Linked DNA regions of Caenorhabditis elegans. The protein of the gene in region 1 purifies or fractionates together with the protein of each later gene. This does not show direct contact. Each region holds a gene or a part of one and is shown in the gene's direction. Other genes may lie near its edges.

Region 1 (4,160 bases):
GTTTTCGATAAAATTTCGATTTTTAATGATTTTAGCTAACTTCCAAGCTAAAATTAATTAAGATTCCAGCAAAAAATTGCGAAAAAGGCTAAAATTCCCTAAAATATTGCAATGGCTGAGGGCTGGAAACTTCGTCCGCGGCCATGACCGCGACGCAGCCACGCGTGCGGAGCGGCTCGAAAAATTATTTTTTTCAACGAGAAAACGTGATATTTCATCATTTTAGCCAATTTTTAAGCTAAAATTAACTAGTTTTTCGCGGAAAATGCAATTTTTCCAGTGTTTTCCAATAAAAAACATGTGTTGTTTTCAGTACCAGCGTTAAACCGAACAAGTGCCGCGTCGCGGAGAAAAGTCGACAACAAATTGTCAAGATTTCGCGGGTAGGTGGCTGAAAACACGGCAACTTGGCGGATTTGAGGCAGAGAATTGATGATAATACTGAAAAATCCGAGGTTTTTCGGGGGGGGGGGGGGGGGGGGGGGAAAAACTATGATTTTTCGTACTTTATATCATCTCTAAACACTTCATCCATCAGCTTATCCGCCTCATCGAGCACAAAAAAGTCCACATGGGACATGTTCATTGCTCCGAGCTTGACGAGCTGTGCTATCCGACCAGGAGTTCCAATGACGATTTGTGGGCCTGAAAAATAGAGAAAAAATGCGGAATTTTCAGATAATTTGGCTTAAAAACCCACGCGTTTGCTTCAAATCGATGAGATTCAGCTTGTGAGCGGATCCTCCAACGTATACTCTGAAAAAATTGCGGTTTTTCGGTGAAAAAATCATAAAAATTCGGATTTTTGAGGTGAAAAAATATAAAAATTTGAATTTTTAGGTGAAAAATCACAAAAATTCGGGTTTTTTAGGGGAAAAAGTCATAAAAATTTCGATTTTTAGGTGAAAATATCATAAAAATTGGGATTTTCACGATTCCTGGGTCTTCTTACGAAGTTCTAGCGCCGGTCGGAGCGACTTTCCGCACAGTTTCCTTAATTTGAACAGAAATCTCTCTCGTCGGAGTCACAATGACTTTTTGGATGTGTGAAGATCGAGAATCCAGGTTTTCTACGGCTAAAACCGAGAAAACGAGCGTTTTTCCGGTTCCTGACTTGGCCTGAACAAGCATATCTGAAAAAATAGCAGTTTTTAAGGCCCAGGCCCTTATAAATAGGCTGACCTCTTCCCAGCAAGCCGACTGGGATGGCCCGGGCCTGAACTGGAGACGGCCTGTCGAATTGGCTATTTTTCAGACGTTCCAGCGTCTTTTGTCCGATCATCAGCGACTCGAACGTGCAATTCGATTGGACATCGATCGAGCTGCCGCGGTCTAATACCTCGATTACCTCGGAGAACTCCATTGGCTCTGAAAATTAAAAATTGCTGTATTTTTCTGTACTTTTACAGATTTTAATGGCTTTTTCGGGATTTTTACCGAGTAAATTGGAAAAATCAATAATTTTCTTGGTTTTTAACGCGAAAAAATCAGTTGAAACTCGATTTTTTGGACGGAAAATTCATTAAAAAAACCGCTGAAAAATATCTAATTTCGCAAATTTCGCAACGGGGCGCGGTTCTATGGGCGGAGTTTAGCGAACGCAATAGCGCCGCACACTTTTTTGTTGTTTTTTTGTCATTGTTTTTTGCGGGAAATCTTTGGTTTTTTATTGATTTAATGACTCTTAGCACATTTTTTGTTTAAAAAAATGAAATTAAAAGTTAATTTAATGGATTTTGAAACGAAAAATGCCATTAAAACTCTGATTTTCCTCAAAAATTGCATTTTTCAGCTTAAAAATGGAAATCGACGATTGCGTCATCGATATGATCCAAGTTTTCTCGAAAATCAATAGAGAAGTTCCGGAAAAAGCGAAAAAAGCAATTGTCGAGATTGAACGGCTCGATATTCTTGCGAAGAAGGAGATGGAAGTTGCTAAAAAGCACAAAATCGAATTTTTTGCGAATTATGAGGAAATGACGGCCGAACAAAAGACCAAAGCGTTCACTTTTATGCAGGTTTAGCTCCTAATTTAACAATTTTCAGAAGAAAATGGCGAAAGTTTGAAAATTGCGGTTTATAGGTGAAAAAATCATGAAAATCGCGGTTTTTAGATGAAAAAATTATAAAAATTTGGATTTTTAGGTGAAAATATCATAAAAATCGCGATTTTTAGGCGAAAAATCGAAATTTTTTTGATTTTTTCACCTAAAAAACCCAATTTTTATAATTTTTTTCACCTAAAAATCCAAATTTTTATGATTTTTCACCTAAAAATCGCAATGTTTGTGATTTTTTCACCTAAAAATCGCAATTTTTATTATTTTTTCATCTAAAAATTCCAATTTTTATAATTTTTCAGCTAGAAATCACAATTTTTGTGATTTTTTCACCTAAAAATACAAATTTTTATGATTTTTTCACTTAAAAATCGCAATTTTTGTGATTTTTTTATCTAAAAATCCAAATTTTTATGATTTTCTCACCTAAAAAACCCAATTTTTATGCTTTTTCCCCTAAAAATTCCAGTTTTTATAATTTTTCAGCTAGAAATCACAATTTTCATGATTTTTTCACCTAAAAATCGCAATTTTTGTGATTTTTCACCTATAAATCCAAATTTTTATGATTTTTTCACCTAAAAAATGCGAATTTATCAATTTTCAGAAGAAAATGGCGAAAGTTTCCGAATATTCCGACCAAAAAATAGAGATTGCGAGCGGTTTGAAGGTTCTTCTGAAGGATGTCTACGGGAAATTCATGGAAGAAGAGCAAAAGTTCATTGAAAACCTGAATAAGATTCCAAAAGCACCGGAAACTCCGCCAAGCAGTTCTCCGTCAGTGCGAAGTCATCGTAAGAAGAAGCTTTCCGAGGGAGATGATGATGCTCCGTCGTCGGTGGATGAGAAGAAGCGCGGTCGGAAGAAAAAGCCAGAATCCGAGAAAGCAGTGGCCGCCGCCGAGCCACCGAAAATGTACTGCTGGTGTCAACTGGTAAGGGCTCCGTGAGCTTCCGCCGCCGCTTAATATCGCCAAATTGGGATAATTTCAGGATAAAAACGACACAATGATCGAATGCGAGAATCCGGGCTGCAAGTACGGATGGTTCCACTTCACATGCATCGGAATGATCACTGCTCCAGCCGGCGACTGGTATTGCACCAATGAGTGCCGTGCACAGGGTCTCGCGGCGGTTGCAGAGGCTCCGCAGAAGGCTCCACAACGAAAGGGATTGAAGAAGAAGAAGTGAATAATTGGTTTTTTTTCTTTGATTTGCCGCTTGTGTACCTATTTTATTTGAAAAAAAATCATCCGATGATCACAAAATTGTATTGGTTTGATCTCCCATTTTGCTTTATTATTCTATGATAAACTGAAACTTGTTTGCATATAAATTTCTGTTTAAAAAATTATTTTTTCTGACTCTCACAACGGTTCTGATGAATTTTATTCAGATTTTGAACTGAAAATTAACGATTTATTGATTAAACTTGGATTTTTGTTGGGTTTTTCCTTTAAAATTGCTGGATTTTCAATTTTTTCGGTGAAATCGCTGAAATAAATACATTTTTTCGAGCCGCTCCGCACGCCGATGCGTCGCGGTCAAGGCTTTTTTCCATGCCCACTCCTTGCAAAACCCCGTGCGGCACAATTGCGTGTAGATTTACGAAGCCCCGCCCAAGAATTTTTCCTCGATTTCATCCAATTTTTTTGGCGATTTTATCCAATTTTTCATCGAATTTATTGATTTTTCGAAATTTTAGATGGCGTCGGGAGAATCGGAGGCCCCTGGGACTTCAAAAAATGATCGATTTTCGATAACATGCCCTTACAATTCGGATCACAAGGTTGGAATTGATATATTTTTAATTTAAAATTAAAAATTTTATATTTCAGGTGTCAATGGAGGAGTTCAACACGCACTTGTGGAAGTGTCGCACGGAAAAATTGCATTTTTACCCGCATTCGTTGAAATTGAAGAGGTTTTTTTTTTGCTCAATTAATTTTCCAATTTTTCTATAATAATTATCATTATTTTTTTTAGATGCTCCTACAACATGCGTCACTTCCTTCCCGAAGAAGAGCTCCAATTCCACGAGATCTTCTGCAAACGTCAATCCGCCGATCTTCGACGCCAATTGTCACTGGAGCCGCTGGAG
Region 2 (4,112 bases), on another chromosome or scaffold:
GAGTCTTGTGAGACGTCCTGATAATGAATCGCATCCGACTGCAATCTTCAGTGAAAGAGATGAAACCGCGATTCGGCATCAGCATCTGGCCAGTAAAGATATGAGATTGCTCCAACGTCGATTGCTTACGTCACTTGGTGATGCTAACAATGATTTCTTCAAGATAAATCAGCTCAAAGTAGTTTTCCAAAAAAAAGATGTTTGCCATAAAACATAAATTTACAGTTCCGCAAAAAGATGATCAAGTTTGCACGTTCTCGTATTCACGGATGGGGTCTCTACGCGATGGAGTCGATTGCACCAGATGAGATGATTGTGGAGTATATAGGACAGACGGTCAGTTTTTTTTGTGAAATTAAATTCCGAAGTATTGATTTTTTTTCAGATCCGATCTCTGGTGGCCGAAGAACGAGAAAAGGCTTATGAACGTCGTGGAATCGGAAGTTCATATCTGTTCCGAATTGATCTGCATCATGTGATCGATGCAACAAAGCGTGGAAATTTTGCTCGATTTATTAATCACTCGTGCCAACCTAATTGCTACGCGAAGGTACGTAGTTAATTTGATAATCTGATTTTAAAAAAATAATTTAAAATTTTTAGGTTCTTACAATCGAAGGCGAGAAGCGGATAGTCATCTACAGCCGAACAATTATCAAGAAGGGTGAAGAAATCACGTATGACTACAAGTTCCCAATTGAAGACGACAAAATAGATTGTCTGTGTGGTGCGAAGACGTGTCGTGGATATCTTAATTGATATGATTCGTCTAGTTTTTAAAATTTATATTCCATTCGATCTCTTCTAGTTTTTTAATATTTTTTATTTATTTAAATTTTCCTATCCAATTCCCAATTCGCTGGTTCGAAGTTGGAAATTGCTATCTGATAAGAATAGGCCGGTTCCTACTTTTTTTTTAAATATTGAAAACTGTATCATTGTTATTCATTCTCCTTATGGTGAGCTGAGAAATCCTTGTATTATTAGTGGAATTCGTTATTGTTGAACAATTGTTTGAGTGTATGTTATACGATACAAGCTCCCCTTTTCAACTAGATACTTCTACATTTTATCAAATCTCTTGTTTCTCTATAGGTTTACGAATTGTTTTCTTGGAGGATTTCCTCTACAGTCTCTTGTTTATCTCTCTATACTTGAACATCTCTGAAATCATTCATTTTCCCTTGAACTCTGAACAATTGGTCTTTCCAAAACAACCTCCCATTCAAGTCTTTATTCATTCGTGTTTAAAGTTAATTTCAGCTAGTCTGAATAGTTTTATGTTTTAAAAAGTGTTTTATTATGTTCTTTAAATGAAATAATTTTAAAAGTCATGGTTTTCGTATTTTAAAAAATTTTGTTCATTTCAGTTCGATTCATATTTCTGGTATTTATCAGCGATAGTGAAGAGACCCGAAGAACTCGGGGGATGTCCAACTGGGGGGATTACCAACTCGGGGGATTGGCCCCGCCCACAGAACCGTGGCTTGCAATACGCCCATTTCTGCAACTGCCGCACGATTTTAAAATTGTATTTTTATCAATAGAGCGAGGATTAACAAGAAAAAATGATTTTAAAACCGTGCGGCAGTTGCAGAAATGGGCGTATTGCAAGCCACGGTTCTGTGGGCGGGGCCAATCCCCCGAGTTGGTAATCCCCCCAGTTGGACATCCCCCGAGTTCTTCGGGTCTCATAGTGAAAATTAAACAGGTTTTCCAGTTTACTATTTATTTAAAAAAATACCTATGTATATACATTTTTTTAAAAGTTACCTAGGTTCGAAACATGACCATTTTCGGTTCAAAAAATATGATACCGGATCTTTTCAATAATTCATGATTCGTTTTGTCATGTTTTTTGTTTCAATAATACCAGGGTAATATTATGCATCATCTCTCATACCAAATAATCTATAGAATAAGCTCGAAAATTTAAGAAAAATTTACCATTAGCAATTTCCTTGTCACCACGTAGTGGCCACTTTCAACTGATAAACCTATGTTTGCATTTAGATGATTCGGAGTTGCGTACGGTTGGCATCACAATCGACGAACAAACTTCTCATTTTTTCCTCATTGTCCCGTAACAGTCAACTCTACATTTCGATGAGCTCTTCTGATTTGGGAAGAGGATTTAAACAAGGTAAACGTCTAAAACCATCGATTATTTCAACTGAAAGAGCAACCGATTTTACTACGTTAAAATTAAATTTTCAGGCCGTGGAACTGGTGATTCTGGGCAATCTTCTCTGTACAACAATGAGCGTCGCTGGAAAGATGACGACACTTTCAATGCTCTCGGAGCAACCGATGAATTGTCTTCATTTCTTGGTGTCTGTGGAGCATCTGCTCAAAACGATGGTTCAATGAGCGATGTAGTGGAGACATTAACACGCCTTCAATGTTGTCTACAGGATGTTGGAGCTCATCTTGCTACTCCACCAAAAAATTCTTCGGAGAGAAAACAAAGTGTGTTTTTTTTCTAAAGAGTGAAAAATCTAAAGTTTCCGTTACCGATTTTCAATTTTGTATCTTTATTTTAAATCCCGGAAAATTCTTTCGAATCAAGAAAGTAGTCGAAGTGACTTGGTATTTTCAGAGAAAGTCAAAAAACTGAAATTTTTTCGGAAACCAAACAAATTTTTTCAAGTTTGGTTTATCAAAAAAAAAGTTAATTCTATTGAATTAAAATAAAATAAAAATCACATATAGAGGAAAGATCGGAGATTTTCATATGAAGGTCTCTGGCTTTATATTTTTCTAAAAAATAATTTTTAAAAATCACTATTGAGCCGTATTCTATTCTTTCAGAGAAAACTGCATTCGATATTGCAATGGTTGAATGGATAAATGCAGAAATCGATCGATACGGAGACGCGTTGCCTGCAATCCGACAATTTATTCTTTCTGGCGGTGGAATGACGTCTGCTCAATTACAGTATTCCCGCGCAATTTGTCGTCGAGCTGAACGGAGTATTGTTCCACTTATGAGAGACGAAGACGTCGATCCAATGGCATTAAAGTTCTTGAATAGGTACTATGGTTATCGATTCATCGTTAGTAAGAAATATCAATTTCAGAATGAGCGATCTTCTATTTGTTCTCGGTCGTACTGCCTGCATGAGAAACAAGAACGAAGAGCTGACATATCTTCGCCCCGATTCGTTCACCAATTTGAAATGGGATCGTAAATCTCTTCACGAGAAAAAATAATTTTTTTTATAAATATGTAGTTATCATTCTTGTGAAACTCGCCATACACTTCGTGTAAAATTTTTATTGAATAATCTTGCCATAAATATCAGATTTGTCTATATATATTTTTCTTTTTTGAGATTCTTTATAATTTTTTATATTAATTGATTGTGAACTCTTCATAATGTATATTTTTGTTTAGAAACCAAAACGAAATTTTCAGATTTCCAACTTGTATAATTTTAGAAAATGCTACCATTTGACCCATCCACTAGATACGATCGTCAAGTTCGACTTTGGGGAGAAGAAGGACAAGCATCAATTGGTTCAACAAGTGCATGTGTTCTTGGAAGCGATTCGCTAGGTATTTTTGAAAAAATTGAATTAAAAATCCAATCTAAATATTTTTAGCAACAGAAATATTGAAATCGTTGGTTCTCGCCGGTGTTCAATCATTCTATGTCGTTGATGACGCCAAAGTTGAACAAGCTGACATCGGTCAGAATTTCTTCCTCCATGCAGATGATATTGGACGTTCTCGTGCCGAGGCAACATTGGAGAAGCTTACCGAACTGAATCCATCAGTCTCTGGTAGTGCAAGTAGTCAGCCACCAACAGCGTTAGCTATGGAAGATGTGGAAAAGCTGACAACGTTTTCTGTGGTTGTTGCTGCAAATCAAAATGAAGAAATTGATACGACGTTCGCGAAAGTTTTGTATAATATTAGAGTTCCATTCATCTGTATCAAGTACGATATTTTCAAAATTTGAAGTTCTTGCAGTTAAAATTCCAAAATTCAGAACTTTTGGACTAATTGGTACCATTCGAATCTGCATCAAAGAACACACAATTGCTAACTCACACGAAGAGAATCCGAGACCTGATTTACGGTAAAATATACATGAAAACTTCCAAAA

The links.
Region 2: the proteins of lsy-13 (region 1) and mmab-1 fractionate together in Caenorhabditis elegans (co-fractionation; one large-scale study listed by BioGRID). This does not show direct contact.

What each region holds. Positions count from the first base shown.
Region 1 is NC_003282.8:16,862,076-16,866,235, forward strand, and holds lsy-13 (ING family member lsy-13), read left to right. Parts: upstream 1-1,794; 5' UTR 1,795-1,799; coding exon 1,800-2,018; intron 2,019-2,667; coding exon 2,668-2,994; intron 2,995-3,052; coding exon 3,053-3,250; 3' UTR 3,251-3,411; downstream 3,412-4,160. Other genes in the region: mel-46 (ATP-dependent RNA helicase), read right to left, coding at 317-441, 507-645, 701-756, 953-1,133, 1,183-1,363; gtsf-1 (CHHC U11-48K-type domain-containing protein), read left to right, coding at 3,765-3,848, 3,898-3,983, 4,046-4,160.
Region 2 is NC_003281.10:4,919,649-4,923,760, reverse strand, and holds mmab-1 (Corrinoid adenosyltransferase MMAB), read left to right. Parts: upstream 1-2,013; 5' UTR 2,014-2,106; coding exon 2,107-2,143; intron 2,144-2,217; coding exon 2,218-2,469; intron 2,470-2,811; coding exon 2,812-3,034; intron 3,035-3,080; coding exon 3,081-3,213; 3' UTR 3,214-3,319; downstream 3,320-4,112. Other genes in the region: Histone-lysine N-methyltransferase set-2, read left to right, coding at 1-178, 226-336, 386-550, 604-759; ula-1 (NEDD8-activating enzyme E1 regulatory subunit), read left to right, coding at 3,445-3,559, 3,607-3,943, 3,996-4,085.